Notamacropus eugenii: one gene and its partners. The protein of the gene in region 1 binds, or shares a complex with, the protein of each later gene. Links are inferred from orthologs where the notes say so. Each region holds a gene or a part of one and is shown on either strand. Other genes may lie near its edges.

What was found.
Region 2: SNRPB (region 1) and CRNKL1 share a complex: the UniProt entries of both Homo sapiens proteins name them as parts of the minor spliceosome. The link is inferred for Notamacropus eugenii from reciprocal best matches to the Homo sapiens genes SNRPB and CRNKL1.
Region 3: SNRPB (region 1) and GPKOW share a complex: the UniProt entries of both Homo sapiens proteins name them as parts of the minor spliceosome. The link is inferred for Notamacropus eugenii from reciprocal best matches to the Homo sapiens genes SNRPB and GPKOW.
Region 4: SNRPB (region 1) and SCNM1 share a complex: the UniProt entries of both Homo sapiens proteins name them as parts of the minor spliceosome. The link is inferred for Notamacropus eugenii from reciprocal best matches to the Homo sapiens genes SNRPB and SCNM1.

Annotation. Positions count from the first base shown.
Region 1 is NC_092872.1:476,069,035-476,076,722, forward strand, and holds the start of SNRPB (small nuclear ribonucleoprotein-associated proteins B and B'), read left to right. Parts: upstream 1-4,674; 5' UTR 4,675-4,830; coding exon 4,831-4,833; intron 4,834-6,449; coding exon 6,450-6,601; intron 6,602-7,688. UniProt on the Homo sapiens protein: Plays a role in pre-mRNA splicing as a core component of the spliceosomal U1, U2, U4 and U5 small nuclear ribonucleoproteins (snRNPs), the building blocks of the spliceosome.
Region 2 is NC_092872.1:595,317,738-595,325,254, forward strand, and holds the start of CRNKL1 (crooked neck-like protein 1), read right to left. Parts: upstream 3,015-7,517; 5' UTR 2,880-3,014; coding exon 2,829-2,879; intron 1,294-2,828; coding exon 1,141-1,293; intron 1-1,140. Other genes in the region: CFAP61 (cilia- and flagella-associated protein 61), read left to right, coding at 7,299-7,441. UniProt on the Homo sapiens protein: Involved in pre-mRNA splicing process. As a component of the minor spliceosome, involved in the splicing of U12-type introns in pre-mRNAs.
Region 3 is NC_092876.1:17,503,476-17,511,300, forward strand, and holds the start of GPKOW (G-patch domain and KOW motifs-containing protein), read left to right. Parts: upstream 1-4,825; 5' UTR 4,826-4,857; coding exon 4,858-6,162; 3' UTR 6,163-7,825. UniProt on the Homo sapiens protein: RNA-binding protein involved in pre-mRNA splicing. As a component of the minor spliceosome, involved in the splicing of U12-type introns in pre-mRNAs.
Region 4 is NC_092873.1:305,006,679-305,013,776, reverse strand, and holds the start of SCNM1 (sodium channel modifier 1), read right to left. Parts: upstream 3,015-7,098; 5' UTR 2,711-3,014; coding exon 2,660-2,710; intron 1,647-2,659; coding exon 1,576-1,646; intron 1,320-1,575; coding exon 1,231-1,319; intron 1,153-1,230; coding exon 1,058-1,152; intron 948-1,057; coding exon 856-947; intron 1-855. Other genes in the region: LYSMD1 (lysM and putative peptidoglycan-binding domain-containing protein 1), read left to right, coding at 3,388-3,567, 4,946-5,304, 5,826-5,964. UniProt on the Homo sapiens protein: As a component of the minor spliceosome, involved in the splicing of U12-type introns in pre-mRNAs. Plays a role in the regulation of primary cilia length and Hedgehog signaling.

The DNA of each region.
Region 1 (7,688 bases):
CTGCTGTGATGCTGCCTCTGAGATGAGGCTGTATATAGTTTTGTGGGCTTTTTGTATAAAGTGTGCTCCTTTTAAATTGATTCATAATAAACTCTTGGGCAAAAAAACCTGCAGTTATTGTTGGGTATTTTCTGTGCCTGTTGGAAGCATTGGGAGGGAGTGCAGAATTTAAACCCCTTAAGACCACCCTGGCTGTTACGTGGGCTGTCCTAGAGGAAGTAGTTCTTACATCTGAGTTACCTTTGTTCCTTTTTTATTCATCTGGATGACTTCAGATGCTTCCCTCCATTGTGATAACCATGGATTCAGTTCCCTGCTTTTCCCTATTAGTTTTTTATAGCTTTATCCTTGACTCTTTTAAGTCAGAAGTTCTTCTAAGCCTTCATTTTCTTTTTCTCCTATTTTCTCAAATTTGCTTATTCTTTAGCAGTTAACCAAAATAAATGAGAATGCTGAATATTCCTTAACTTAAAAAGTCATTATCTTATTCATTGTATTTGGGAGTTTTTAGTTTTCTCATGGAGAAAAAAAATTAGTCATAGCTCAACTTCATATATTGTCCACCTGCTACTTCTATAACACAATCCTGGATAATGGAATTCGGTGTATGTTGTCTTTAATTTCTTCTGCATGGGGAAGGAGTAATCATCAAGAAAATCTTCAATCATCATGTGAAAAACCTCGAAAGTTCATGCTTTGCCCTCAAGGTTCAGTTATTATCTGCTCAATCCATTTCATTATCTGATCTAAATTATTCTCTAGTTCTCCTGGTACATTGCTAGGCAGCCAGTGTACTACTTCATGGTTGTGGGAGGCCATGGCTTCTTCATAAAGAATTTGGAAAATTTTACTAAATATTGTCCTGTTATTTCTTTTTTTAAAATTTTCAGTTTACAACATTCAGTTCCACAAGCTTTTGAGTTTTAAATTTTCTCCCCTATCCTTGCCTCCTCCCTTCCTAAGACAGCATGCAGTGTGATATAGGCTCTCATATACATGCATGTTAAATATGTTTTCACATTAGTCATGTTTTAAAGAAGAATTCTAACCAGCAGAATGAACCATGAGAAAGAAGAAGCAAAACAAAAAAGAGAGCAAACAGCATGCTTTGATCTGCGTTCAGACTCTATAGTTCTTTCTCTGGATGTGGATGGCATTCTCTGTCCTGAGCCTTTTGGGGTTGTCTTGGAACCTTGCTGAGAAGAGCTGTCTGTCGAAGTTAGTCACTGCACAATGTGGCTGGAACTGTGCATTATATTCTGGTTCTGCCCCCCTCGTCATCCGTTCATATGAGTCCAGGTGTTTCTGAAGTCTGCCTGCTCAGCATTTCTTACAACACAATAGTATTCCATTACATTTATATGCCGCAACTTGTCCTGTAGTTTCTTTACACTGTATCCCCTCTTTTCAAGTCTTGTATAAAATACAGAATTATCTGTTTGAAGCACAAAAACTATTATGAAACCATGATTGAGGGAAGAAGTCACAGCCATGGTAATCAATAACTCCACCTTCTTTCATTTTGTTTTCTAACTCAACTACTCTGTCTTCATCCAAAGTGGGACATACATATTTTTCATCAAAGCCATTATATAACTGTCCTTGTGCTAAATTGCCCATATGAACGAACAAAGGGATAGTGAGGAGAGAAAAGGAGGAATTCAAACAGTGTGAATGGAGACCACTGAGGAGACCTGATTGAATGGGATGTTAAAGAAAGTCTCAGGAATAGCTTTTGTGAAGAAAAGAAAGCTCTTTGTGCTGTAGTTGAAGTACCTTTATTTTTAAAGGGCAGACTCAAATAATTCCTATCACTCTGGTGGCTCTTGATAACATTACAATAGGGGAAGTTTATCTTTGACAATCTCCTCTTTACTTTTCTTCTCAGATACCCAATACCCTTGAAGCCCTTCCGCTCACCTTTGCAGTGTTTCCTAGGTGATGTTTCATATCCATTCCTCTTTTAACTCTCATTTACCATTTTTACCTCTCACCAGTGGCTTGTTCTCATCTGTTAGGGAGGAAAACTAAATGGTAGAATCAGGATATTTGAATTTGAAGAGACTTTTAGACTATAGAACATACAAAGTCAGAGCTGGAAAAAACTTAAAAGGTAAAGTGCTTTGACCAGGCTTGCTTCCTAATAAGTTCCAGAACTAGTATATAGGAGCCCAAGTTTTCTCTTCCATTTCTTGACTCATCATTTTCAACAACTGTTTAAGACCCTATTATCTGCATAGCCCTGTAAGGCTCTGGAAGAGATCTTTGAAGTCATCTAATGTAATCTAATTATAGATGAGGAAACTGAAGGTCCCAGATCACATAGAGGGTTAGTTGTAGTGCTGAGAGTAGATGCCAAGTCTCATTTCTAGACCAGTACTTAGCAATAGTTACTGACCTAACTCTAGAACTAGCTGTTAGGTTAGAGTTGATATAAAATGAGAATTGGGCTTGCTGATCCCTAAAGTCCCTTTTAGCTAACAGTCTTTTATTTTAAGTTGTATTTATTACCATTAGATCGTAAACTCTAGGACAAGGCCTTGTCTTAATTATCTTTTTATCTCCATCCATAACCTGACAAACTATGCAAAGGATAGCTGCTTAACAAATAATTGTTAATTGAATTAGCAAGTTAATGAAGTAGGATGAATGAAAAAGTGTTGGGGAGACCAATGAGGCATTCATTATCTGCTTTCTAGGAGCTCATATTCTAAAGGAGGAGATGACATATAGGGAAGGTTGTAGGTAATTGTCCTTTGTTTTTGAGGAGGACCAAAATGACCTCACTGTGTTGAGGTCAAGGTACAGTGTGTCTGACAGTGACTGATCAGACCAATTTGAGCTCGGAAGGCTCAACCACAGATCTGGCACAAATGGTGCATTTGAACATTTGGAATGGAGATGTCTCTGGATTTATGCATCTCATGTTTTCTTTATGCTACTGAGATTCTGCTTTTCTTATAGAGAGACAGTGCCTTCTTTGATGCAGGCACTTCATGCTAGGCAGTCCTGTACCTGTATCTCTTCTTTCTCACAATTGATACCAAAGTTTAGATCAAAGGCCCAAGGTCCCCCAGTGCATCCTGGGTCATCTCCAGTCATCCTGATGAATATCTGTCACTGGATTCAGATGGCTCTGGAGGAGAAGTGAGGCTGGTGACCTGCACAGCCCTCCCTCATTCAAAACAAAGTCAAGTGCAAGTCATGTCATCATTTCTCTGATGGCATGGTCATCTTTGGCAACAAAGGACAAACAAACAAAAACCAAAGTTTTTCAGAGGGACCTTGAGAGTGTCCTTGTTCCTCCTGACCTCCATGTAAGAGCTTGCTTTATGTGAGTTCTCCATAAAATAGTCTCTTAAGAAAAAGACCTATTTGTACAAAAATATTTATAGCAGCTCTCTTAGTGGTGGCTAAGACCTGGAAATCAAAGGGATGGATGCCCATCAATTGGGGAATGGCTTAACAAGCTGTGGTATGTGATTGTAGTGGAATATTATTGTGCTATAAGAAAGGACAAGCAGGATAATTTTAGAGAAACCTAAATGAAGTGATGCACAGCAAAGTGAAGTAAAGAATCAGGAGCCGGTGATACCCGATAACAGCAACGCTGTGCCATGAAGAATTGTGAACGATTCAGCCATTCTCAGCAATACAGGGATCCAAGACAATTCCGAAGAGTGAAACAGTGTCCACCTCCAGAGAAGGAACTGATAGTGATTGAATACAGACTTGAGCAGGCTATTTTTTCACTTTCATTTTTTTCCTTTTATTTGAGTCTTCTTGTACAAAATGATTAATATGGATATGTTTTACATAATTGCATATATATGACCTTAATCTGAGTGCTTACTGTTTCAGGGAATGGGGAGGAGAAAGGAGGAGGGATAGAATTTGTAAAAAAAAAAAAAAAAAGTCAAAACTTTAAAATTTTTTTAAAAATAGAAAAAATAGTCCTTTAGGTCAACGTCCTTTTGGCATTTGAACAGGCCAGACCACTGGCAGCTCCACAAGGGTGGCTTCCTGGGGGGCCGGGCTGGGTAGAGTGGGGGGCAGGCTGTCAATCCTGAGGCGCACTGGGGTCTTGGGCGGTGCTCGGACTTGCTCTGAGCATGGCCCCGGCTTCGGGCGGGCTGGTTTTGTCCTCCGTTCGTGGCAGACGGCGGGCACGTCCGGCCCCTCTCCCACAGCGTGGCGGTTGTGGAAGCTGGCCGCAGGAAGCTGCCAAGGCCCTCCGGGTGTCTGAGCTGCACACGTGGGGGGGTGACCACCCTGGGCAGCCGGACCTGGCGTCAGAGCGACTCCGGCTCTGGTTCGTTTTCCCGCTGCGTGACCCTGGGCCAGTCGCTCAGCTTCGCTGGACTCAGTTTCCCCAGCCTCCCGGAGCTGCCTGTGTGTACAATGACAGGCATGTCGCAAACTAAAGCGCTACGTAAGTGCCGGTTCGTGATGATGATTAGAACTGATGGTCACTAGTTACATGATTCTGGGCCAGTCCTCACCTATCTGAGCTTCAGTTTATAAGTCGTAAAGGGCGCACAATAACATCGGCGCTTGTTGAGTGCGTTTCATAAACAGCGGAGTGCTTCATTCATTCGAGCTGTTCTAACTAGTGTGCCGGGGAAAACTATAGGGACGGAACATGAAGAACACGGGCCTCGTAAGCCGGGAGGCGGAGCCGGAAGTTCACCCAGCCGGAAGTTCCCCTAGCCGGACCGTTTTTGCCAAGGGCTCATTTCCGGCCGCGGGCGCGGGAACTGGAGTTTTCGTCGGTTTGTAGGCCCGGCGGAGGCGAATCCGACGCGAACCGGGGCCATCTCAGCCGCCACCATGGTGAGGGAGGGCCGGGCAGCCATCTGGGGTGGTCCTGGGAATGGCCCCGAGTGGGGGGCGCAGCCAGTCGACCGCCGAGTCAGGGGGCTGGGGCCCAGGTTTGGGGAGGAGGGCGCGGGAGGCCGGGATTCTGAGGGGGGGGAGGGGAGAGAACGCGAGGCCCGGATTGGGAGGGGGGAGGGGAGGGCTTGCGAAGCTGGGGTTCTGAGGAGGGGGAGGGTAGAGAACGCGAGGCCCGGATTGGGAGGGGGAGAGGAGGGCTTGGGAAGCTGGGGTTCTGAGGAGGGGGAGGGGAGAGAGCACGAGGCCCGGATTGGGAGGGGGGAGGGGAGAGCATTCGAGGCTGGGGTTCTGAGGAGGGGGTTCAGAAGGAAGGCCGGGTTCGGGGCGGGGTGTGTGATTGTGTGTCACGGTTCTGAGTGCCATTCATAGTTGGCACTGAGAGCGGAGTGGTGGCAGGGCCAGGATGGGGACCTTGGGAAAGATGGCTGGGGGAGTGCTGGGAGACGGAGGGATTAAGGTGGGAGGTCCTGGAACCTGGGAAAGGTTAAAGGTGGGGAGGTTTTTAGGACTCACTGGGAGGTGGGCTGGAGGACTAGATGGGGTCTGGAGGGGGATGGGTTGGAAGAGGAATTAGAGCCAAGGGGGCCTGAGGGTTAAGAATGGGGAGTGTAAGGGGTGGGGTTTGTCAGAATTAAACCTTTTTACCATTTACTGCATCTCTGTCGTTTTACACCCGAGAAAAATCCTGGCCCCCAATTTTGGACCTACTGTCCCTTAGCTTCTAGGCCTCACTAACTCAACCTTAAGGTCAAATACAGCGAGTGAGACCTGATTCAGAATAGGAGCCCAGATCTTCTGACTCTAAATCAGTTCTTTTCCCGTAACACTATTTGAATCCTACTTTCCCAGTGTAATTACATTCTGTTATATCCATCTTATCCTCTCTCATGCATTTAAAATAATATTTGTTGAGTGGGCACTATATACCAATTAGTGTGCTGAATGTTGCTAACGTATCCCTCAGGTAGCCGAGATATTGGGTTTGTCAGTCAGATGATTTGGGTTTCAGTTCTAGTTCCATCACCAACTTACTGTGTTATCTTGGACAAGTCTCTTAACCTATTCAACTGAGCCTCAGTTTCCTTTTCTGTAAAATGGAGGTAGATATCTTTGCACTGGTTACGTCTTTATACTCTTGGGAAGGTCAGATGAGATAACTGGATTATGTATGAAAACAACACAAGCATCCAGTCCTCTATTTTTGGTCTGGAGGGAAGGAGAATGAAGAAATCCATTGTTAAAAAATGGAGGTGATAGAAGGCTGTTTCAGGAATCAGAATGTTGTCTGGGGGAATCTTAGAACAAAGAATGCAAGAACTATAAAGAACATTATAGCTAATTTCATGTAAACCACTTTACTGAGCAGGAATCTGAGGTTTGGAGTGGGGAAGTGATTTATCCAAGGTCAGGTCTAGAACCTAGGTCCCCTGACTCCAACCTTGTTTGCTTCCCTTTATGCTAGTCTTCCTCTGGGAGTGTAACTGAGAGAGAAGTAGAGTCAAGGAGGCATTCCGATTTTAGTATCTTAGCCACTTTTTTCTTGCTTCCCACAGACGGTGGGCAAGAGCAGCAAGATGCTGCAGCACATCGACTACAGGATGAGGTGCATCCTGCAGGATGGTCGCATTTTCATCGGCACCTTCAAGGCCTTTGACAAGCACATGAACCTGATCCTGTGTGACTGTGATGAGTTCAGGAAAATCAAGTGAGGAGGAGCCCTGGTGGGAGGGGAGCAACCCAGTTCACCCAGCAGAATATTGTGGGGAGGGACCCAAGTAGCAGGTGGTATAGTTTAGCTGTCCCCTGTCTGGCTGTGGCCTAGATGTGTTTCTTGTGTCTGTGTGGTTGTGTCCTTTTTTTGAAGAAAATCCAGCTGAGTTTCCCCAGTGCCCTCTGAATGCTGCCTTCCCCAGGAGTTCAGTTGTGCTTGGAACCCCTTGGCTTGAGAGCTGTGTTTCTGTTTTTCTTTGTTTGCCCCCTTGGGGTAAAGGGCTCTCGTGTTCTCCCCACAGGTTTTTAAGGGGGAGAACTTGCTTTTCTGTCCTCATTGCCTCTCTGTAAGGCTGCAGCCTAAACGGCATTCCCACCCAATACAGCCTGCTCTGAAGCAGCTTTCAGGAGCCCCTGACTCTCTTCAGGGTAAGTGCCTGGCTTCACCACTTGGGTTAGTGTTTGGGGCTAGTGATTTAGAATAAGAGTTGGAAGAGACTTTCAGCATCATTTACTGCGACCCCTTATTTTATAGAAGAGAAAACTGCAATCCAACAGTGCTAAGTGACTCGCCCAAAATCTTAGAGTAGTAGCAGAGCAGATATTCAAACCCCAATTCTGTGACTCCTGCATCCAATGTTTTTCCCATTATACCAGGCTCCCTTCTGATTTGTCATCTGCAAAAAAAGAAGTAGTGAGAGACAATGGCTAAATGCTGCCCCTTGTGTTTTCAAGTTATTCACTATGCCAGTTTTTCAGTAAGAATCTTGTGTCTTAAAGCTAGAAGGACTTCAAGATGATCTGGTTTAGGTACTGCCTACCCTAAGACAGCTAAGTTATTTCCATTATACAGATCAGGCAACCCAGAGAGGATAAATGCCTTACCTATGGCCATTAGTTTGTTAAATGGTAGTGGTTGGGTGGGAATGACTAGAACCCAGGTCTCTTGCTTCCAAGAGTAGAGCTCCCATTTTCCTTCCTTCATTCAACCTATTAATGACCTTTTGTTTCTTTTAGGTCTGTGTTTTTTTGTGTGTGTCTGGCTTGAGTGGAGAGAATCTAGGATGAGGACTTAGGTCCAG
Region 2 (7,517 bases), about 120 Mb from region 1:
CATAGAAATCACATTCTAAAACCTGAATTTGAAGGAACCTATCTGTGAAATGAGATAGGTACTTTGAACATATCCTTATGATGCCAAATTCCATCGGGATGACAAAGGAGAAAAACAGCAGAATATATCCAATAATGAATAGTGTGTTAAAAATCTTAATGCTTTATGTATTGTAATCTAAGCAGATTTAACTTGGCATACAGTTTAGTAATTATTTGTTCAAAAATTATCATAAAAATAACATTAGCAAAAACATTCAAAATAAGGAAGAAATTACATAAAACTTTATCATTTAGTAAAATCAGACCAAACAAACTGCTGGTGCATATAAAGGAGGCAAAATATGCAGAGCCTCTTGTTGAGTATTTCATTCTAATTGGGATGTCTTCTCCCTGCTACCAATCTTGTTTAGAGCCTGAACATTTTAAAAAATTATCATTATGCTGTCATTCCTTCAGTGGATTGATTCTGGTTGAAAAACAGAAGAAAAAAGAAGATTTTACCTCTTTAGGCAAAATCTAACTGGCTAATGATTAATTAATAGTGACAAAATGAACGTCCCAAGAGGCCATGGACTACAGGAATTCATTACTGACAGAAAACATCAAGGTCAGTCTTAGCTATGCAGTCTTGATTAAATCACTTAAGGTTGCAGAGCCTCAGTTCCTTTATTAGTAAAATGGGGATAATTGGTAAAATTGGTAAAATGGGAGCTAGGCAGCGCAGGGCTTTGAGTGCTGGGTCTACAGTCAGGAAGATCTGAATTCAAATTTCACTTCGGACAGTTACTAGCCATGTAACCCTGGGTAAGTCACTTAATCTCTAAATTTTCACAACTGAAAAATGGGGAGAATAAGAGCACCTCTTTCCCAGGGTTGCTGTGAAGATCAAATGAGATAATATTTGGAAAGTGCTTGGTAAAGAACCTGGCACACAGCTGGCTCTTCATAAATGCTTGTCCCCTTCTCCCTTCTCTTGTACTACCCATTCCACAGAAGTTTTGTGAGGCAAGCAGTTTGTAAATCTTATATGTCAGCTATTAATAATATCCATGTTAGCCTCTCTAAACAAGCTCTCAGCCAACCAGCTTTATGGTTCACAGCACTCCCCTGAAAGGGCTGAAGTCTACTTTTTACTTACCTTTCTTTTCCTTAGTTTATAATCATTTAATTCTTCTTCATCTGTGATCTTCTGTTGAGGAGGTGGTGGCAGAAGCTCAAGCTCTCTTTCTTTAGCTTCCCTCAAAAGCTGTTCTGCTGTGATCTGTACTTCAGCAGGGGCTTTGTTTTTCACCTTAAAAATGAAATAGATTTATCTTTGGTATCTGCACTTTTACAAACTTTCAAATAACAACTATATCTGTAACTGTTATATGTGCGTATGTATACATAAATTTCTGGACCATATTACAAGATACTCTATTCAGCAGATTATGTTTGACTTCTTTATGAAATTATACACAATGCTTTACTGCTTGTAGCTTAGTTTTGTCTTAAGGGAGAGTTAGCAATAAAATGAAGAGCAGTATATACTTGTGGCTTAGCATAAAAATAAATTTGGATCTTGGAGGAAATACTTTGAATGTAATTTTGATATGATGTTTTAATTTCTTTTAAAAATATGTATCATATTTTAGTCATGTTAATAAAGAAACCTTGTTTACAGAATTCTTTTTCTTATTCCCCTTAAAGTCATAAATGAATTAAATGGTCTGAAACATACGCTTATGTCTAAAGCCATATTTAAAACAGGAACCAGAAGATGTGAGTTCACATACCACCTCTGCCACTTACTGTGTGACCTTGAGCAGGACCTCTGACCCTATTTCCCTTAGCTGTAAAGGGAAGATAATATCCACACTACTTCCATTGTGAGGATGAAATAACAGAACAATACGTCACACTTTGGAAACTATAAGCTGGAAGCAAATATATTTGGAAGATAAGCCTGATTAAATAGGAAATTACAACTGAATACTTTTAACACCAAGATGGTAGTTATACACTGAGTTTGGGGGAGGAGAATAAGATCACTTTAAATGGAACCTAACTGGTTTTCTTGTTAAGAAGATGAGTATGGGGAACAACGTTTTGGTTTGGTTGCAAACGTTCTGTGTAGTTTCACAGTTGGCAAGAGAAACACATGGAAAAAGGGTTTGAATCATCTCTTGTAATGTTTTAGACCTAAAAGCTGCTTCAAGTGACTGTATTTGTGATTTTAAAGGGTTGAAAACAGACTTCGTACTACAGAGAAAGTATCTATTGAGTATAATGGAAATAGATTTTAGAGCCCAAAGGCCATCATGTATTTCGCAATGTTTATATGCTGACTCCCCCCAGAAGAGTATTACTTGATAAAAGTGGGGCTGCTGATGCCAAAGAACCCACTGGGTGGGATTTACACACATGGCAAACCAGTAAAGCCTCAGTAAGTCAGTCCTTGCCTAAGTGCGGGGTCGCAAGCACTGGGCTTTAGGAGCTTCTTTCGTCAGAAAGTTCTTTGTGCTTACAAGCCATGATGAACACATTATGTGCTAATATCGACATACACTGAGGCTCAATGAACAGGTGCTTCCTACAGACACGGTATGACTCTAAAATGACTGCCCACATCGTCGAGCCCCCGGGCCGCGGGGGGCACGCTGCCTCCGGAGGATTCCCAGTCATACGTGCTTTCTTCCCATTCCCTTCCCGGATCCCGGGAAAAACGGTCTCACGCCCCCAGGGAGCTTGCTTTTCCTCTCCCCACGGGCACAGGGGCTAAGAGACACCGACAACAGCCCTTCCTTCTTCCCGCCCCCTTCGGCGGCCCCACGGCCCCACCCCTACCTTGGCCACTTTGGGGATCCGCTGCTTTCCGGCCGCGGTAGAAGCTGCCATGTTTTCGAGAGTGGGTCCGCGAGCCTTGCAGAGCCCTCTCCGATCCTTCAATCTCCAGGAAACGGCCCCCAAGCGTCTCCAGCCAGTTCAAGAAGCCCCGGACAACAACTCCAAGCCGGAACCGGAAGCGGAACTGTCGTTATCGAGGCGTGACCCTTCACCCTTACCGTCGCGTGACGGGAGGGACGCTGTTTCTATAGTAACCGGCCTTCGGCGTCTGTTCCCGAGTTAGCCCGGAGAGTGCTGTAGCTGGGGTGAGTCCAATTAAGAAGGGTTCATCTGTGTGTAGCGGAGGGGTTCACAGGGTATTCTAACTGTGGTTTGCTTTAAGTGGCTTAGGGCCAAGGGATTTGGGCGTCAGGGAGAAGCTTTACAGGTGTTCCAAGCAAAGGCGCCTTGCGCTGAAACATGGAACAGTGCCCGGTAGACTTCGGGGGAGGGGAAAAAGCACAGACTACCACTCCCAGAAGGCAAAGCAACACCACTGTGGAAACACGTTATCTCGAGATTGGCCGTGTTGCTTCCTGGGTCTTGTAGTCTCAGTCTCTTAGAGCCGCTTCTGTTTTGACCTGAGAAGGAGGAGAGTACCGGGTTCTAGCACGGAGAATTTAGGAAAATAGAGGAAAACGAATAAACATTTATATAGCGCCTCCTGCACTGTGCTAAGCGCTTTACAAATTTGCCTCATTTGGCCCTCACAGCTGATGGGGTTCAGACTCTGGGAACCTCCTTGAATCTTCCCACTTAACCTGGCCTTTCCTACTCAAATCTGTTGCCCTTGGCCTAGCCTGGCCTTCCATTGGCTGTTAACTCTAGATTGCCCCGCCTTGCTTCCCACCCAAGCCCTCCATTGTCTGATACCTCCTAATTGCCTCCAGCTGCTCCATCCTGTGAATCAGGTGCTGTTATCCACATTTTACAGTTGAGGAAACTGAGGCAAGGGAGGTTAGTTAAGTGACTTGCCAGAGTTACACTGGTAAGTGTCTGAGGCAGAATTTGAATTCAGGCTTTCCAGACTCCAGGTCCAGCACTCTATCCGTTGTTCCGAAAAATAACTAATAATACTTTAAAAGTTTTAAAAACCTTATCAGTTATTTTAAAAGTAGAGTTTTCCCCCATTAAAAGTATACAGCTATGCCTTTGGTCGTTGAGGCAGATGGAATATATTCCAACAAACATGGTATAATGCGGTTATAGTGAAGTTCATTTTTTGGCATCAGGGCTCTACAACAATTGTTGTTTCAGTCTTTCAGTCATGTCCAACTCTGTGACCCCTTTTGGGAGCTTTTCTTGACAAAGTTACTGCGGTGGTTTTCCATTTCCTTCTCCAGCTTATTTAACAGATGAGGAAACTGAGGCAAACAAGGTTGTGACTTGCCCAGGGTTACATGGCTAGTGTCTGACGAGTCTTCCTGACTCCAGGAGCAGCACTCTATTCATTGGGATACTTAGTTGCCACTTAGCACTATGCCACCTCTTAGTAAGTGCTTAATAAATGCTTCATGGTTGACTGATAGTGTAAGTTACTGGGAAAAGAAATTGAAATTGATTAAATTTAAATTGGTGGATTGGGATAATTTGTATTTCATTCATCTATTAACCCTTTCTGGTTAGCCAATACTTGCCTATACATATGCGCGCACACACACACATACACACATGTATTTGACTTAGCCAGTATTAAAAGCACCTTTGTTGTGCCCATTTTATGCATAGATAAACTGTATTTTAGATATGTAAAGAATTACCAGCGGCATAAGCACTGCCAACTAAGAAAAGGGTGGAATTAGGGGACAGAGGTTTCCAATTTACTGGTTTCCATGAAGAGCCTGACATTTCATTCACATGCCCCCTAGTGGTGGAAGTAGGGCATAACTTCAGAGATGAGTGTTGGACTGTCACTCTGAACCTCATCTTTCATCATGGAAAAGTATCAGATAGTAGAATAACAGCTATCGAATCTAATAGTGAAACATGTTATTATTCCTCTTCATCCACTCTACATTCTAGTCAAATTAACTTTCTTGATTTTCCTTTTCCTGGAACTCCATCTCCACCTCCATGCCTTTATAGGCTCTCCTCTGCCAGGAAAGCATTTTCTCCCTTGGAGGGTTCTTAGATACCTTCAAGTTTCCCTTGATGTGTTGCCTCCTAAGGGGAAGCCTTTCTTGATCCACCTAGTTGTTAGTATTCTTTCCATTCCATCCATTTGTTTGTGTAAATATTAATAAGCCTCCAATACAATAAATGTTCCTGAGGGGACATAGCTAGATAACAGTAGTATGTCTTGGGATGGTCTTGATGTTTTAGTGGAGTGTGAGCTCAATGTGACCAGCAGCCAAAAAAAGATGATGCCATCTTAGGTCATATGGAGACGTATAATGTCCAGAACAAGGAGGGTGTCAGCCCTGCTGTACTCTGTCCGTAACTTATTTAGATTCTTATGTTTTTTTCTTCATGTCTCTTTTTAGGGAGGGCATTGGTAAACTAGAGAATGAACAGAGGTGGATGAATGGGATGCCAAAGGGTTTCCAGATCATGATATGCTAATCAAAGGACTTGGAATGTTTCACTTGGAAAAGAAAAGACAAAGGAGTGGGATGATGACCCTCTTCCAAATACTGGAATCAGACTCATCATTCTCTAGGCCATAGAGAGCAAGAACTAGGAAGTTACAGAGAGGCAAATTTGGGGTTGAAGTAAGGAAAAACTTTCTAGTAAGGGAATTGATATAACTATAGTATGGACTCCAATCACATCATATTTGGGCAGCTAGATGGCAAGTTCAAGACTTGGATCCATAAGATATGAATTTAAATTTGACCTCAGTCACATACTAGCTGTGTGAACCTAGACAAGTCTCCTAAGCTCTGTTTGCCTCAGTTTCTTCATCTGTAAAATGGAGATGGCAATAGTACCTACCTTATAGGGTTGTTGTGAGGATCAAGTGTGATAATATTTATAAAATGCTTTGTAAACCTTAAGGGGCCTTTATAAGTGCTAACATTATTAATTGGAATCCTGCATTTTCTTTTGGGCAAAATTGAAAATTGATTTTAATTCTATTTTTGCTAAGAATTGATCAAGCTAGATTTAATATTCCCCTTTGAGATTCCTTTCCCTTGTAAACTCACCCATCACCCACTTTTCAGAGAAACTCAACCTAAAAGCTCAAATCTTGTCAATTTAAACTGTTAAAGAAGCTCCTATCACCTACACACTTATCCTGTCCTTGGAAGATCTGTTACCATTACCTGAGAACCTTTGTCATAGTGACTCAAATCACATATCTTGGCTGTGGTTAAGGGGTTTTCAGAAGGTGAGGTTCAAATGATGTATGTCATCCATACCCAGTCAAAAGACCACACCTATGTTGCTCCAGATTTTACCCTGTCATCATGCGAATTGTTATGAAAAACCCTGTCAAACCTCACTCAAGGTTTTTGATCATCAAGTGAGACCATTGCTCCAACTTATTGGTTACTGCTAGCCTATCTAGCTATTTGATTATGCTCAGAATTTCACACCTCAGTTCATCTTAATTTCTGCTATAACAATTAGAACTATCCTGAAGTGGATTAGACTGTCTTGGAAAGTAGAGGTTTGAAACAAAAATAATCATTTTGGATTTGTTGTTCAAGGGATTTTTGTTCAGCTACAAAGTGAACTAAATGGCTTCTGAAGACCCTTCCAGTTCTCAAATTCAGAACATTTTCCTAAATTCATATATGTGTGTGTATGTATGTATGTATATTATATGTGTGTATATATATGTGTATGCATATATACAGAGAGAGCGGGAGAGACAAATTGGATAATCTCAGAAAGATAATTGATAAATAAAAAGTTACCATTATTGCTATCAGCATTTTAAAAGACTTTTTCACTTTGGGTTTGACAGAAATAGCTATGATTTTTTTTATCTAAATGTAAATCTAAATAGACATAATATTGTTTAAACAAAGTTATCCCAAGGCAAAATCAATCACTGGTTTTCTTTCCTTTTTTATAAACTGGAAGCAGCAGTGAATTTCCCTCCTAATACTTGGATACATACAATTGTGGTAAATTAAATATACTGAACCAGTAAATATTTCATTTCAGTCCCTTTCAACAACTGCTCTATAACATTTGGGAGAAGTTTTACTGGCAACAAAGAATACAGTTGTGGCGCTTTCTAGACAGACCAATTCTCAGAAACTGTATGAGCCGATCGAGAAATGTGTCTCGTAGTTTGTGGTGACAGCTGATACAATGTACCCCCAGGGAAAATCAGCTAGACTTATGTGGAAAATATTGTATTCACTTTGTCATTTTGGAAACCGAATTAGTATTTAATATTATAAGTACTGTAAGCGAGACAGCTAATCATTTCAGATTTATAATGGAGTGTTTTCTCTTTTCGTGAAAGGGCATAAAATGACATCATTGACTTCTCCAAGAGGCAGGGAAGAATTTGTCCATTGCAGAAGAACAGAATCACAAGATATTTACTGTATTAAGACTCTCATCAGAAAATTTACAGAAAATCTTTTTGGGAGGATTAATATCATTTATCTTCTGTAAGTAATTTTACCATTATAGTTAATAAGCATTTGTTGAACATTGCCGTGGACTCTGCTCTGGGGGTGGGGCAGA
Region 3 (7,825 bases), on another chromosome or scaffold:
ATGTTATGTCAGATTGCTTTATAGTGGGGTGTCCCCAAATTCATCCATAGTCATCATGTTCCAGAAGATTCAGATAATTGGCAAGGTTACACATTTGAATTATCTAAGTGAAAATTTGGGATATCTACCCCAAATATTCACATGGACTATCTGTGCCCAACCTGTGGTAGAGCATGCCGAGCTCATATTGGTCTAATTAGCCACAGTCAGACACACTGAAATTTCACTTTATCATGGTGATGTCATTTTGGTCCTCTTTGAAGGTGAAGGACAACAACCAACCAACCAAGTGAAGATCTCATCCCTAGGAATTATAGAAAGGAAATTGGACAAAATCTTCAGAAATGATCTGAATTTCTCCCGAGATGGACACAGCATTTTCTAGGTGGGTTTAGGGAGAAGGGAGAAAAATTACCCATCATCTTAAAAGAGATGTTTTCCCTCAAGCAAGGGAAGATTCACAATTCTCTCTGGCCTCTCCAATATAGGCTTTCCCTAGTCTCTCCAATAGAGTTGCATAAATTCTTGAGAAGCAGAAAAAAGCTGGACTTTGTTTCTCAGTGTCTTGTGCCCCTTTTCAGCTCCTGGGGTCCAAAAGGAGATGGGAGGAGTAAGCTGGTCTCAGAGTCAAGAGCTGATCCCTGCACTTCCAGCTTCTCTTTCAGAAAGCCTGGGAAAAACAAAAGCCAAGGATCTAAGTTCAACTGGAAAGTCAGAGATAGCACCTGCTTGGATCTCTCATTTCCAGCAGCTCAGACAACATGAGTATTGTAAATATGAGAGAAAGCAATCAAAGCCCTCCCCATTCTGCTTCCTTTGTAGGGCATGAGAACACACTTTGGTTCGAAGGACGCATGACAAAAACCCAGCAGGCAAAGTCCCCATCCAGGCAAACCTGTACCTGACCAAGAAGTCCCTCACCTACCATTTCTCCTAATTAGTGGGTCAGATGATGGTTGGCAAGGAGGCACCTTCTACCTCCCAAAACAACCCAGTCCTATTTAGGCTAACTCATTGCAAGCCAAGTATGGGTTTGGTTTAGGGAAAAGTTTTCTGCTTGCAGCACCCGTGTATGGCCCCTAATTCTACCCTCTAGAGCAGCTTAGAGCAAATCTAATTGATCTTTCCATGACAGGCCTTCAAACACTAGAAGGAGACTCTTCTGCCTTCTTCAAGCGTTCATTTGGCTTGTGGTCCTATCCCCCATCGAAGAGCTTACTCACTTCTGGATACTCTGAATGCCATGCAAACTTTAAAGAGAGATAGCATTGCTCAGCACTTGGTCCACAGTCCGTTTTCCTAAGCACCCTATAATTGTCACATGAACTGTCTCCCCCTCCAGCCTGCTGAAGACTTAGCAGTTTGTGTTCAGGATATGGGCCTTGTCTCTGACAGAGGATAGAAAACTTCACAAAGTGAGACCCCATTCAAACCAAAGCAGCAGATTAGAGTTCAGGGCTGGGCTGACAGAGGGCAGAAGCCTAGAGCCTCCAAAGCTTGAACATCAGTCTTAAGATGCTATATTTCCTTTCTCATTTTAGCACTGGAGAAAGTGAAGGACCTAAGCCCAGGTGATCCAGATGTCTAACCCACCTCTCACACCACCTGTGGGGTCATGGACAAGGCCCTTAATAACTGTATGGAGTAGGTACCATAGGTATCCTACCTACTTTACAGTTAAGGAAAATGAGATTCAAACCCTCACCATCCAAGTCTTGAATTTCATGTTACCTAAACCCTGAAAAAATCCAGGTAGACTGCAGAACCCAAGACTTCCTTGCCCAACACTCCTGGATGGCAAGTCAAGACTGGGACTAAACAGCTGGTTTTGAGCTGACCCTGTAAAGACTGGAGAGCATGCAAGGGAGGGACAATTATAAAGTACCCATGGACCACATCATTTGGGTAGAAAGGAAACCCTACAACACAACTTGGGACATGGAAGAGTGAACATCAGCCACCAACCAGACACTTCCCAAATGGAAGTTAGCTCTGTTTCCTTATACCCAACCCTTGGGCAGAATGAAATTGTGATTACTTCCCCAATGATGTTCACTGGAACCCTCAAGTCTTTGCCTAGCTTGGGGATACTCAGAAACCTGGCATAATGAACAAACAGACTGATATGTTCATACAAAGGTTGATTGTGGCTTCTAGTCTGCCATCTCTCCAAAGGTTAGAGATGAAGGGGTCCTTCCAGAACGTTCTAATTCAACACTCACTTCCAGAGGGGGAAATGAAAACCCAAAGAGAAGAGTAAGGTGCTCCAGTTAATAGAGGATAGAGCAGAGACCAGAACCAGCACCTCTGTACAAGTGTGTACTGCCTTTCCATGATAAGAGCAACAACTCTTGTTAAATTGTCTATGAAGTGATTGACAAATGTTTTGTTCCAATAGTGAACCTAACTGATTCTGAACTCTCCCTGAACTCTGCCCAGAACTGAAGGCTACTCTAGAATCTGAAACATCATCTAAGCCGTAAGTGCTGATAATATTTACTATAAATATTAGACTTTAATAAGGGCCAAAGCTCGAATTAAGAAGAGTCTGGACCTAATAGTCTCCCTTGTTATCTTAAGTAAACTCAGAGAATGTCTTTTTGTCAGAGAAACAAATAGGGCTGACTTAGTAATTTCCTTAGGAGACCCTTTTCCTGGCATCTTAGTGATAAGGAAAAACACAGATTCCTGGGTTATAATTTCAACTTTGTCTACTCTGTTAAGATACCCTTTCTTGTGTCAGCAACTTCAAGGACCTGTTTAGGACAGGAGGTCTGCCATCAGAGTGATGAGATTTTCTCCTTATCTTATGTCAGAGACACATATGAAAATAGGAAATTCACATAGCTTGGGATCATACAACTCAATTGATACTACTTTGTTAATTATCTTACTAAATTTACAATTTGTCCAACTAAGAGAGTTCCTTTCTCACAGTAACTCACGGTAAAATATATATATGCCAGAAGATTTCTATACCAAGTGGTCAGAATATTTTTCTGACTCCATAATGCATTGTCGCTGTTTTCTTTAAAGGGAATTAATTAATTAAATCGTGAAATGTACGCATTTAGCCTGTTGCCTTTTCTTTAACCAGGTTTTCAGGTCAGCAGTGCATAGCAATGCCCCGACCAGCTATTTAGACAAGGAAGTAAGACCAGGAACAGACGCTGTCTGGCACGTTAGACTCCTGGAGGCTCTGCAGCAGGGAGCTGTCCAGCTTCCAGACCATTGTGATGAAGTCTGTATCTTAGCAGACGGTTCTTCTTCAAGAGCAGCCCAGCTGTGCGGGGTGGTAAACAGGCAGTGACTTGGGCAGGGAGCCCCGACCGAAATGGATGACTGCGTTGATCTCGGGGATAGGGAAGAAGCAATGGTCACCTTTCCAGGGGTAAAAGGAACCAACTCGTCTGCAGAATGGAGCCATTAAAGCAGTAAATATCCTTCAGGGAAGGGGGAACAAAAGTCAGAAATGTCTAGACAGGGGGCAAGCCCGAGTGGGCATTCTCACCCAGCAGAATCCAAAGCTTTTCCCAGAAAATAAGAAAGTTGGACGTTAGGCGGAGGGAGGGGAGGGGCGCTGGGAGGGAGGTCAGAGGGTAGAGTTGCACCCCAGCTTTTCTTTACATTTGTCTGCTTCGCATCCAAAGGGAACGCGCCGTCCTTCGGCCCAGCCTGACCCATGGCTCCGGGCAACAGGGCTGGGCCAGGGGCCCCTTAACCTCCTCGGGGCACGGCCACGCTCCGGGCTGTGACATCATAGGGGAGGGCTCCTGGTTGTTATTCAGGGGACACTCTCCCCCCCACCAGCCTACGGGGTATTGGGGGCGCAGACCCTCCCCCGCTGGTCCAGCGTGGGGGAGACACAGGCCCCCGAGGGCGCTGGGTTTGCGGTGGGTCCGAATCCCGCCCTCGAATTTCCCCTCCCCCCACCCCAATGCCTGGAAACCACCGAGAGGCGTGGCGTGCCCGCAGCTCTAGTAGCCACCTGGATCGTCCACCTAGGGGGGAGGAGGGAAGGGCGAGAGAGAGAGGCGAGAAGAGGGCGAGGCGTTCTCCCACAACCCGGCCCCCATCATCCCCACCACCAGAGCAGCAAGGGGAGGGGGACCCTGCCTTGCAGGAATCCTGCGCATGCGCAGCGACTCCAGCGTGGGTGGGTGGAGGTGGAGAAAGAAAACTACAAGCCCCGGCAGGCTGCGCGTATGACAACACCGTGCCATCCTTCTCCGGTGCCTTTCTTTGCCCAGACTGCTTTGTCGAAAATGGGCTAGACTGTTCTCCCTAGTGCACCGTCCCCCGCTCGTGGCCCACCCTCTGAAACACACATCAAGGAAGGGCATCAAGTTCTCCCGGGTGGTCCCGGTTCAAGCATATGCAAGACGAGGATTGAGCGACTACAAGGCCCAGCAGCCACCGCGCGCTAACAAACGGAGGAGGCTGAACAAACAGCAGACGCCAAGTGCAAGCAGCCCCACGGGTGCAGGGGAGGGTAACTACAAAGCCCGGCATCCACCGCGCACATACCGCCTCTGCAGGTGGGGCCGACTACAAGGCCCAGAAGACATAGTGAGCAAACCCTGGCAGCAGGAGGGGCGAACTACAAGACCCAGCAGGCCTCGCGCACAATCTGCAACTGCAGGCATGGAGGACTACAAGACCCAGAAGGTGACAAGTGCAAACAGCCCCACCGGTGACTGACTACAAGGTCCGGCAGCCACCGCGCACAAACAGACGCTACTGGTGAGGCAGACTACAAGACCCAGCGTGCCCCGCGAGCCAGCAGGAAGAGGAAGGACTGCATAAAGGACCCGGCAGGCTGAGCGCTAGGTCAGTCCTGAAGCTGCGGGTGGCGCGATGGCGCACGGGGATAGTGAGGCGGGGGCCGCCAGCTCCGCGGCCCCTGGGCCTCCGGGCCCGGTCTCTTTCGGCTTCAGCCGCACGGCCAGCCGGAGACGGTTGGCCGAAGGCCGCGAGGGGCAGCCGGAGGAGGAAAAGGACTTCTTGCGGGCCGTGGAAGGGCGGGAGCTGCGCAGTGTGCGGCCGCCCGAGGAGGCGCCGCGGGAGCTGGTGATCCCCCTACTGCGGCGGGGCCACGGCCGGACAGCGGCCCCGGGCCAGGCCGTGCTCCCTGAGGACGGCGTGCTCCGCCAGGCCGTGGAGGAGCTGATCGAGGAGTCAAAGCGGGCCGAGCAGCTGGGCCCGGGCGCCGAGGCCGCCGACCGCTCCATGGCCATCCCGCTCCTGGCCCGGGTTGGAGACGCGGCCGAGGCTCCCGAGTCGGTGGGCGCAGACTACGAGGCGGTGCCCGTGGAGGCCTACGGGCTGGCCATGCTCCGGGGCATGGGCTGGAAGCCGGGGGAGGGCATCGGGCGCACCTTCAAGCAGGTGGTGAAGCCCCGGGAAAACCCCCTGCGCCCCAAGGGGCTGGGGCTGGGGGCCAGCCTGGTCCTGCCCTCGGGCCCCCCAGGGCCCAGCCAGCCCGGGAGCCCCAAGGACGACGAGGAGCTGGTGGGCCTGGCCCCTGGGAGGGCCGTGGTGGTGCTGTCTGGGCCCCACCGAGGCCTCTACGGACAAGTGCAGGGGTTGGACCCCGACAACGCCCGGGCCGTGGTGAAGCTGGCCCCCGCTGGCCACGTGGCCACCCTGAGCGAGCACGTCCTGAGGCCGGTCTCCCGGCAGGAGTATGACAGGCAGACCTTGCGGGGGGCCAGGGACCCCAAGACGGGCCACGGAGGGGCCCCCGAAAAGAAGGGGCTGAAAAGGAAGCAGCCCCCCACGGAGGAGCGGGCCCCCCACTGGCTGCGCAGAGACCTCCGAGTGCGCTTCGTGGACAAAGGGCACTACAAGGGCCGCTACTACAACACCAAGATGATCATCGAAGACGTCCTGAGCCCGGACACGTGTGTGTGCAGGACAGATGAGGGCCGGCTCCTCGAGGGGCTGCGAGAAGATATGTTGGAGACCCTCATCCCCAAGGAGGAGAAGGCCAGGGTCATGGTGGTGCTGGGGCCCCACCGGGGCCAGGTGGGCCGGCTACTGGGCAGAGACAAGGATAAGAGCCGGGCTCTGGTGCAGCTGCTGCAGGAGGGGGAGGGCACTGTCCTGCAACTGGACTACGACGCTGTTTGTCACTACGTTGGGCCTGTGGCAGAGGACTGAAGGGCTCCCATCCATCAGAGGGACCCAGTATCTGCATTTTCCTGGGGTGACTGAGGATTGTAATGTGGCCCAAGACTGGGCAGAGGGGTGTCTGTGGGTCTGTCTCATTGTGCCTTCAGGCCATCTTGGCAGAGCCCCTAGTTAGTGCCCATCATCATGCTTTGGCCCTTTGGGGCAGGGGCCAAGGAGACAAGGGGAAATTACAGGGGCCTGCCTGCCTTCCTTTGGTTGGTTAGTGTTTCTTGTCTAAATAAAAATAAGTTTTCCAAAAAAAATTTTTAATCACTGAGCATTCAGACAGTTCACGGAGGAATAATCACAGTATCTCAATGAAATATTGAGGGGGAAAAATCAGTGCCAAAAAGCTCTTCATTTTTAGGACTTAAGTCATTGAATCCCTGGCCGGTATTCTGGGCCTGGAAATGTTGGTAGTAACGGTCCTTTCAAAATGCACCAAGGATAGCTGTTGGAGAATCCACTGTGTAGGTCTATGAACTGGGCTTACAGGGGTCTGGCTCATATTCCAATGGCATTGTGGGAAATGAGTGGAGGTGCTAATGTTTGAGGTTAATACAAAGTGTCCTTACACCTTCATTCTTACTCAGTGTGTAATACCCCCCACAGAGAGACTGCTATCCTAGGCAGTTCATTACTCTCACTCTCACCTAGTCCTCTACCTATGTTCCTACTGAACTGGATTGACTATCCTCTCATATTCCGCACAGGTAATTCTTGGAACAGTTAAAGCCCACCACCCCTCCCCTACATTGCCAGTACATATGGACCTCAATCCCTACAGTCTCAACTGGATCCATTCATTTTAACCTTGTATGGACATGACCTTGATACCTCTTAGTTCCCATTCCATGGTATCTTTTGTCATAGACATTACTGCCTCTTTGAATTTCCAACCAGATAAATTAGCTCCCACCTGGGCTGTGGTTTCGTGGAGTTAGATGTGCTAGTTGGAAGCTCAATCAGAATAAATCAGAGCCTCCATTTAGGAAGGAATCAGTTGTGAAGACAATCTCCTCTGGAGGAAACTCAAGCGAAAGGTTATCTAAATTGCCACATGTTACCACGCTAGTTTTTTACCCAGTTCGTTCTAAGGGTGGTTTGAGAAAAGACGAGCAGAGAGAGGCATTATGTAGCCGAGAAGAATCCCAAAAGTAATGAGGCAGACACTAAGGGCCGTGTGACATTTGAACCCAATGCTGGGTGTGAGAGGAAGGGGAGAAGGCAGGAAGGGGAAGATGGTCCATCTCAGCTAAGTCATGAGGAGCAACAGGACCGTTGGAAAACTGCAGAGATTTGGAGGTTTGCTGTTGTAAATGATGGCCATTGTGACCTCTGCCATCTCACCTGGTACACACAGCACCTGGCACCTTATGTTTCCCCCATTTCCAGTGGGAATCCAAATTAACCACCTACTAACTGTTTCTTGACCTTCTTAGAAAAGAGAGGAGTGGTCTGTTAAGGGCCTTCCAGGCTCTAGCCCCAGGAAGCTGGCTTGCTGCATGAACTGTTGGCAATTTGCTAGCCTTTCCATGCCTATGAGCGTATTCCTATTGAAAAAAGAAAAGTTATTGGTCACAAAAATCCTTGTTGCACTGGCTTGTGGTGTTGACTCAGTGATGGTGGGCCTTTGCTTAGACAACAATCA
Region 4 (7,098 bases), on another chromosome or scaffold:
AGAACCAAGAGAACAATTTATATAATAACTGTAATATTGTAAGGATAATCAGCAATGACTCTAATCAATATGACAAAACACAATTCCAAAAGATTCATGATGAAATATTCTATCCCTTTCCAGATGGAGAGAGATAATGGCCTCAGACTGCAGACTGAGCCATATTTTATTTTATTTTCTCTCTCTCTCTTGGATATGACTAATGTAGAAATTTGTTTTGTATCACTATATACATATGTAACGGATTTTATTTTTCTTGACTTCTTAACAGCTAGGGAAGTGTAATACAGAGAGAAATTGGAACTGAAAAATAAAATAAAATAAAATTGAATTTTAAAAAGTTTACAGTGTTGGGGAGGAATCCAGTCATCTTTTGTCCCTAATACATCAGAGTTATCTACTTCTGTTCCTCCCATCTCAGAAGCAACTCCTAGTAATCTTTCTGAGCATTCATACCCAAAGTCTATTATGAATTACTACTATGAGATCATATAGTTTGACCATTTATCATTTGGAGAATGGTTCTTATTCTTGAAAATGTAACTCAGTTCCCTATGTGGGAACCTATGGGATTTCTCCTTCCCATCTTCTCAACCCTTTGCCAATCCTTTGTCTTCACATCTTTTTTATTACTGAAAGCATTCCTTTAACAGTTATCATGCATCCACTGTCCTAGGTGCTGGAAGACAGATGTCTTCACTGAGTTTTACAGTTTGGTAACAAATGCCCCAGGTTTTATTCTACCTTTTTCTCATCCATCTTCCTCTTCCTCTAATTTCCTTGTTCTTCTCTAAAAACTGCCGCCACTTTCCTACCTCCATCTTCTTGTTTCACCTCTCTTCTATCCAAAATTACCTGTTTCTCTGCCGCCGACAGCAACTGTTATAATTTGGGGCTCTTCGTAGGGCACTTTGGGTGATCAGACGGGTCTGGGCCAGCAGAGGAGCCTAATGCAAAGCAGAGGTCAACAAATGCTCTCAGACCTAGGGGGAACAAGATACTTCACAGCTCCCAGGATGAGAGTTCTACCTAGGAGAAACCTCCCTTTCTCACTTACCTGGTCCCCTATCTTCTCAGTTCTCCTTTCTTCCTGCTGTTTTGGATTCTGTTCTCCTTTCCACTGATGCTTCTTACCATAGAAATCTTGCAGGCCTGGTGGGGAAGAGATACTCAGCATGGCTCGGGAAGGCTTTGTCAAGTTAATGTCCTGCTTTTAACCCTTTAACTTACTGGCCAGGTGTCTCTTCCCTGCACGGTGAGCAGTCAACATGGTCAGTGTGTCCAATACAGGCCGGTGGGGACAGACAGCACAGGCAAATCTTGAGGGGAAAGATGGGTGAAAGAGTTGCAATAGCCTCGGGAACCCTTGCTTTTGGTCACCTCAAGGCTATTCTTTCCTGCTCCCTTCCCAGGTCTTCCTACCCTTTTGCCAGTGCACACCTCTTCCAATCTCCCCCCATCACCCACCACTCTCTCTCTCCCTCTCCTGGAATCCAAGGCTGAATCAAGAATTGACATTTTCTTCTCATCATCCCCTTGTTTGTCTCTTCAAGTTTGATGTCTCCTAGACCTCACCGTCCATCTCGAAGCATCAGTGCCTCGTCTTCTGGGATATAACTGGCCAGCAAGTCCCCAACTCTCCGCTTCTAGAAAAGGAGAAGGCAAAGTGTGGTCCAGTGCTGTAACCAGGAATTCTGGTGCTGATGATAAGATAGTGGGTGTGAAGGGAAGAAACTGAGGGGGAAGGCCTCCTGGGAAAGAAGTTGGATGGGACCAGTCTATTGATGACTTTATTTTTCCAGTGAAGGTTTTGAGATCCCACCTCAGAGTGGTCACCACTCTCAGTGGGCCATGCTTAGGTTTCCTGTAAGCCACAATGAGGCAAGGAGGGTAAGGCTTATCTCCAGGGAACCTGTGGTCCATGTCCTGTCTCAGCCGAGCCTCCAAGTCTTCTGACATCCCAACTCCTTACCACTGCCAAGGGTGGTGGAAGAGGAAGAGAAAGGGTTCTACCTCAACCCTGGGATGGAGGGTCCCGGGGCAGGGCGACAGTGCTCTGGCTGTTTCTACATTTGATTCCAGCAGCTCGTCTGTGACCCGCTCCCAAATATTGATCCATAATCAATATATATATATATGAATACATATACGGGCCAGGCGCTGCGCTAAGCGCTGGGTACACAAAGATGGAAAAACCCGTGCTTGTTCTCAAGGAGTCTACAATCTAATAATGGGGGAGGAAAACACACAAAAAAGCTGAGAAGTGGGGGGGGGGGGGCGTATGGAAGAAGCCCCACATGAGAGCAAGCTGGTGGGAAATGAGATGTCTATGCGATGGCCCTTCTCCTCCTCCAATGGACAAGTTTGGAGTTCGCCCCTCTATCTGCGGGGCTGGGGGATCTGGGGGGAGGGGAAGCAACCAGGCCCAATGGACCTTGAAACATAAATGAGGTTTCTGAACCAGAATTTTACTGAGGGCACGGCGGAGAAGTCAGAGAGCGCCGAACTGAACGCTGGAGACCCCCCTCCTCCCCTCCGATCCCTTCCTCCTTCCCCTCCCCCACCCCACCCTGTATGGCCCCGCCCCTTGGGGGGTTGCCGAGGCAACGCGTGAGCCTCATCTCAGGGGCGACAACTACCCCCCCCCCCCTCTCCTCACCTTGAGCACATTGAGCTGGCTCCAGTCGTCCCCTTCCCTCTTGAAGGACATGGTTTCTATCACAGCCCTCCACCACAAAATATAGCGACTCCACCACCTATTCTTCAACGCCTTCACAGTGACCGTAGCTTCGACGGGGGCGGAGCGGAGAGTTATATTTTTTGGTTGGTTGATTTCTTACTTCCGTGGCGTATGCTTCCGGGAATGCGAGAGCATCCTGCCCCGCAGCTCCTTCTGATTGGCCTCGCGGAAGGACTACACTTCCCAGGATGCCTTGGAGCCCCGCGGCTCTCTGGGAATTCAAGTCTTTCTCAGTATCTCCAGAGCCCTGGGGGGGTCTGTAAGGCCCCTTAAACTGGAGGGTTCGGGGCTGTCTCCTGGTTCCGGATCCTGCATGAGTGGCGTGAGCTTCCACCCGGGGCGGGGTGGGGAGCTGGCCCAGCCGTGCTCGCCAGGACTCCTCTAGGCCCCCAGCAGCTTCTCACTCCTCGGCTGCGGGCAGCGACAGAACCGGCTGCTGTAGATCTCGGCGCCTGGGCCTTGGACGGGAGGGGCGGGGCCCTGCATTCGGGCTTGACCGGGACGGGAGATCCGCAGCCCGAAGCGGGAGTAGGCGGCCTATGGCGAAGGCAGGCCCCCGGGATCTGGGCTGAGAAAGGCTCCTCGAAGGTCAGGGGTCAGAGGGCGTTAGGGTCGGAGGTCAGGACCTGGGCTGGGCCGGCGAGGCCATGGCGTCCCCCTCCCGTCAGGCGTCCCCGGGAGGCTCGGGACTCCTGCGAGGGAGCCGGGCCCGGTCTTACGGCAGCCTGGTACAGTCGGCCTGCTCTCCGGTGCGCGAGCGGCGCGTGGAGCACCTGCTGGAGCCCGGGGATACCCTGGCCGGCCTGGCGCTCAAGTACGGGGTGACGGTGAGTGGGCGGAGGGCACGGCGGGGGCACCTTCCGGGAGGGCTTACGTGGACTACTCTCGCGGCTTCCCCTGGATCCCGGGGCTGTGGCCAGTGGTGTTCAGAGCTTGAACTGTGTTAGACCGGGACTATTGTGATCCTCACTTTACAGATAAGGAAACTGAGGCTGGGGCACATGAAGTGATTTTGGCCGGGGTCTCCCCGCTAGTAACCGCCAAGGCCCGATTTGAACCCAGGTTTTCCTGCTTCCCCACTTTCACCCCTTTTTGCAGTCTCTGGTCCCCTGCCCTCCAGTGTCTGAGGAGGAGGCCCGAAGACCCCCCCCGGGGTGTGGGGAGGTGCACCCGGTTGTCCGACCGGCTGGCGACAGCTGGAGTGTGTGGGCGTTTACCACCAGATTTTGGCTTGGAGCTAATCATCTGGGGATCACAAAACACACACACCCCAGAAGTATCCACGGTCCAGGAGAGCATACGGAGCCTTGGCTAATGATCAGTCTGTCCAGACTCTAACCTCTGGACCTTAGTCAAACAGGGATGTTCCTTTCCCTCCCCCTATGGGGAGACAACTGTATCATATCGTTGTGAAATCTTTATAAAATCTAAAAACAAAATGACAGCTTGTATGCCCTCCCAATTCAAGATATTATTAACTTTGGTGTTATTCAGAGTTCTCTGGTTTTAATAATAATAGCATTTCTAGAGCATTTTAAAACTCTTAGAACTCTCTTATCCCTTTTGATTCTCACAACAACTTTGTGAATTAGGTGCTGTGTTAACCTCATTTTACAGATGAGGATCAGAGACCCAGAGTGATAATGTGACTTCCTCAGGGTCCCATGTCTGATAAGTGACTGAGGCAGAATTCAAGTCAGGTCTCCCTGACTCCAGCGATCTGTTATTCAAGTTCATTAGGATAGTTTTGTGCTAGGATAGAAATATCTTGGTTACATCTCAGGCTTCAGTAGCTGGACTGAATGGGTCCCTCCTAACACGAACATTCTTAGAGACTTTGATTCTGAATGCTGTCTTCCCAATGTGTTATGCCTCAGTTTAACCAAGATATATTATCCAAAAATGCTGACAAATTCATGTAAACATTAATAGTGCATATTTCAGGGTTCCTGATTTATTAGTAAGGACTCCTGAGTTTAAGTTTGTCACTCATTTTTTCAGTGTTCTTAGGCAAGTCATGATCTCCTAAGTAGGCCTCAGTATATTCATCTATAAAACAAGGATGATACTGCCCTCCCTATTGCTCAGGATGGTTGTTAACACCAAATAAAGAAATGGATTTTAAAATGTGAAGTATTATAAAATTGGGAGCTGCATTACTATTGCTGTTATTAATCTGGTGTCCCTACCTTTTTTCCCCCCAAGATGGAACAGATTAAGCGTGTTAACCGTCTTTATACTAATGACTCCATCTTCCTCAAGAAAACTCTCTATATTCCTATCCTGATGGAACCCCGGGGATTATTCAATGGGCTAGATTCTGAGGAGGAAGAAGACAAAGAGAAAGAGATGCCATTGAGTCAAGGTGGAGCTGAAGCCCCCTCAGCTTTGAGGAAAAAACAAGAGGAAAAAGCCAATGGTGAAGGCCTTTCCTCCAGATGTGGTCAGGACCTCCCTAGACCCAGCCATGACCTCTCTGCCACTGACTTCCTCAAGAAGATCGACTCACAGATCAGTTTGTCAAAGAAGGCTGCCGTCAGGAAGCTGAAGAAAAGCGAGAGTGGGTAAGTCTTGGGCATTTCTGAACAGCCCCTCTGACCTGCACCAGAAGCCTTTGATCTAGCAGAAAGAGCACAGAATTGGGCATCAGGAGATGGGAAGTCAGGCCTTGGTCCCAAAACACTGCAGGACTCCACACTCTTTCTCTTGAAAAATCAAAGACTTGGGTTAGATGTGCTCAAAGGCCCCTTCCAGCTCAAAATTTGAATTCCAGTTGCAACGTGAGCTAGCCCCTGCCAGAATACATCTATGGTGGACGGGGGCTTATGATTTCACGTTCCTCTTACTGCTCTGTCCTTCCAGGGGCAAGGCAAGTTGAGCCTTGGGCAGACTTGGCAGCATTACCTGGGCAGCTTGCTACAATCCCTCTCTCTATTTAGTTCACACACCCCCACCCTAACCCCTACCCCTTCAAATGAGAAATCTGTACCATGTTTGGCACATTTCCTGGCACATGTGCTTCATAAGAATTTGTTCTTTCCTTGCCTCCTTTCCTGATCACTTTTCCCTTTGTCTTTACCTGCAGTGTACCTGGGGAGGATGTGCATCCCCATTTGGCTTCCCCTCGAAAGCAGCAACGGGCAGTATTGGGCCCTGTACCCCTGACTCGAACCACAAGGGCAGCCACCTTACGGGACCAGGAAGATGAAATCTTTAAACTCTGATACCCCCAAAACTGTTGGGAAAAGAGAAGCAGTAAAGGAGAAGCTGTCTGATGGGGTGAAAGTTGAGGATCCACTATCTCATCCCATCCCCCTGACCTGGCCTTGTCATATCAGGGACTATGGGGCTATGGGAGGAATTGTAGGCAAGAATGGAAGGGTTGAGATTAGATCCTTTCCGAACTCTTGTGACTAGATCTTGGGATCTTTTAGATTCAGAGAGCTCTGTCTATCCCTTTCCTTCCTCTCTCTGGTTCCTGTCACAGTTCCTTGGCCTTACCATAGGGTGGAGTGATCTCTAGAAGCTGTCCCCCCACTCCCTCCCACCCTCCTTTCTAATTTATTTGGTGCTATTTTGGAATCCTATTTATTAGCTACATTTTGTTCTAGCAGGAGATGGGAGTCCTCCCAGCTCTCGGGATGGTGGCTAAGCAATGATCAGCCATGATGGCTGCTCCTGTAGTCCTCTCCCATCTAAGGAGCTCTGGGGACCGTCAGTAGTGTGGGTATGTCTGAGCCCCAGCCTCTGCTGTGCAGCACTGAGGTACTAAGCCAGCTTCCCTAGATGCTGTACCAGCTTTCTCCCCCAAATCAGGAAGTGAAATGCTGGACTTGGCCTTGACGTGACTGGTCCTGTTTTTCTTTCTCATGGCTCAGGAGATTAGAGATTTTGCTCATCCTTTCCCTCCATGCCACTTTTCTGCCCTATTCCACTGAGATTTATATTGGGGTAGATAGAGAGATGGGAGCAGTGGCCACTGGCCACCTTGATGGATAGTCAGTGAGTTTAGGATTTAAAGAGCAGGCCTGACTACCTGTGTTCTGCATGCGTGTGTGTGTGTGTGTGTGTGTGTGTGTGTGTGTGTGTGTGTGTGTGTGTGTGTGTGTGTGTACGTACACCCCTTTCCCCCCTACACATACTGAGCACTGGAGGGTTTTTTCGTTGCCTCCATGACCTGGTTCCTTTCTTTCTCTCCATTGAATATTTATTTGTGGTTTGTAGCACCAGCTTGAGGTGTACTTTTCTCTTTTTGAAAAGAAAACAGCATAGGGAGGCTCTTTGGGGCTAAGAGTCTGCCTTATTTTGTTATTTAATGTTGGATGTAGAGGAAAGTAAATGTGTTTTCCCACTCCCCT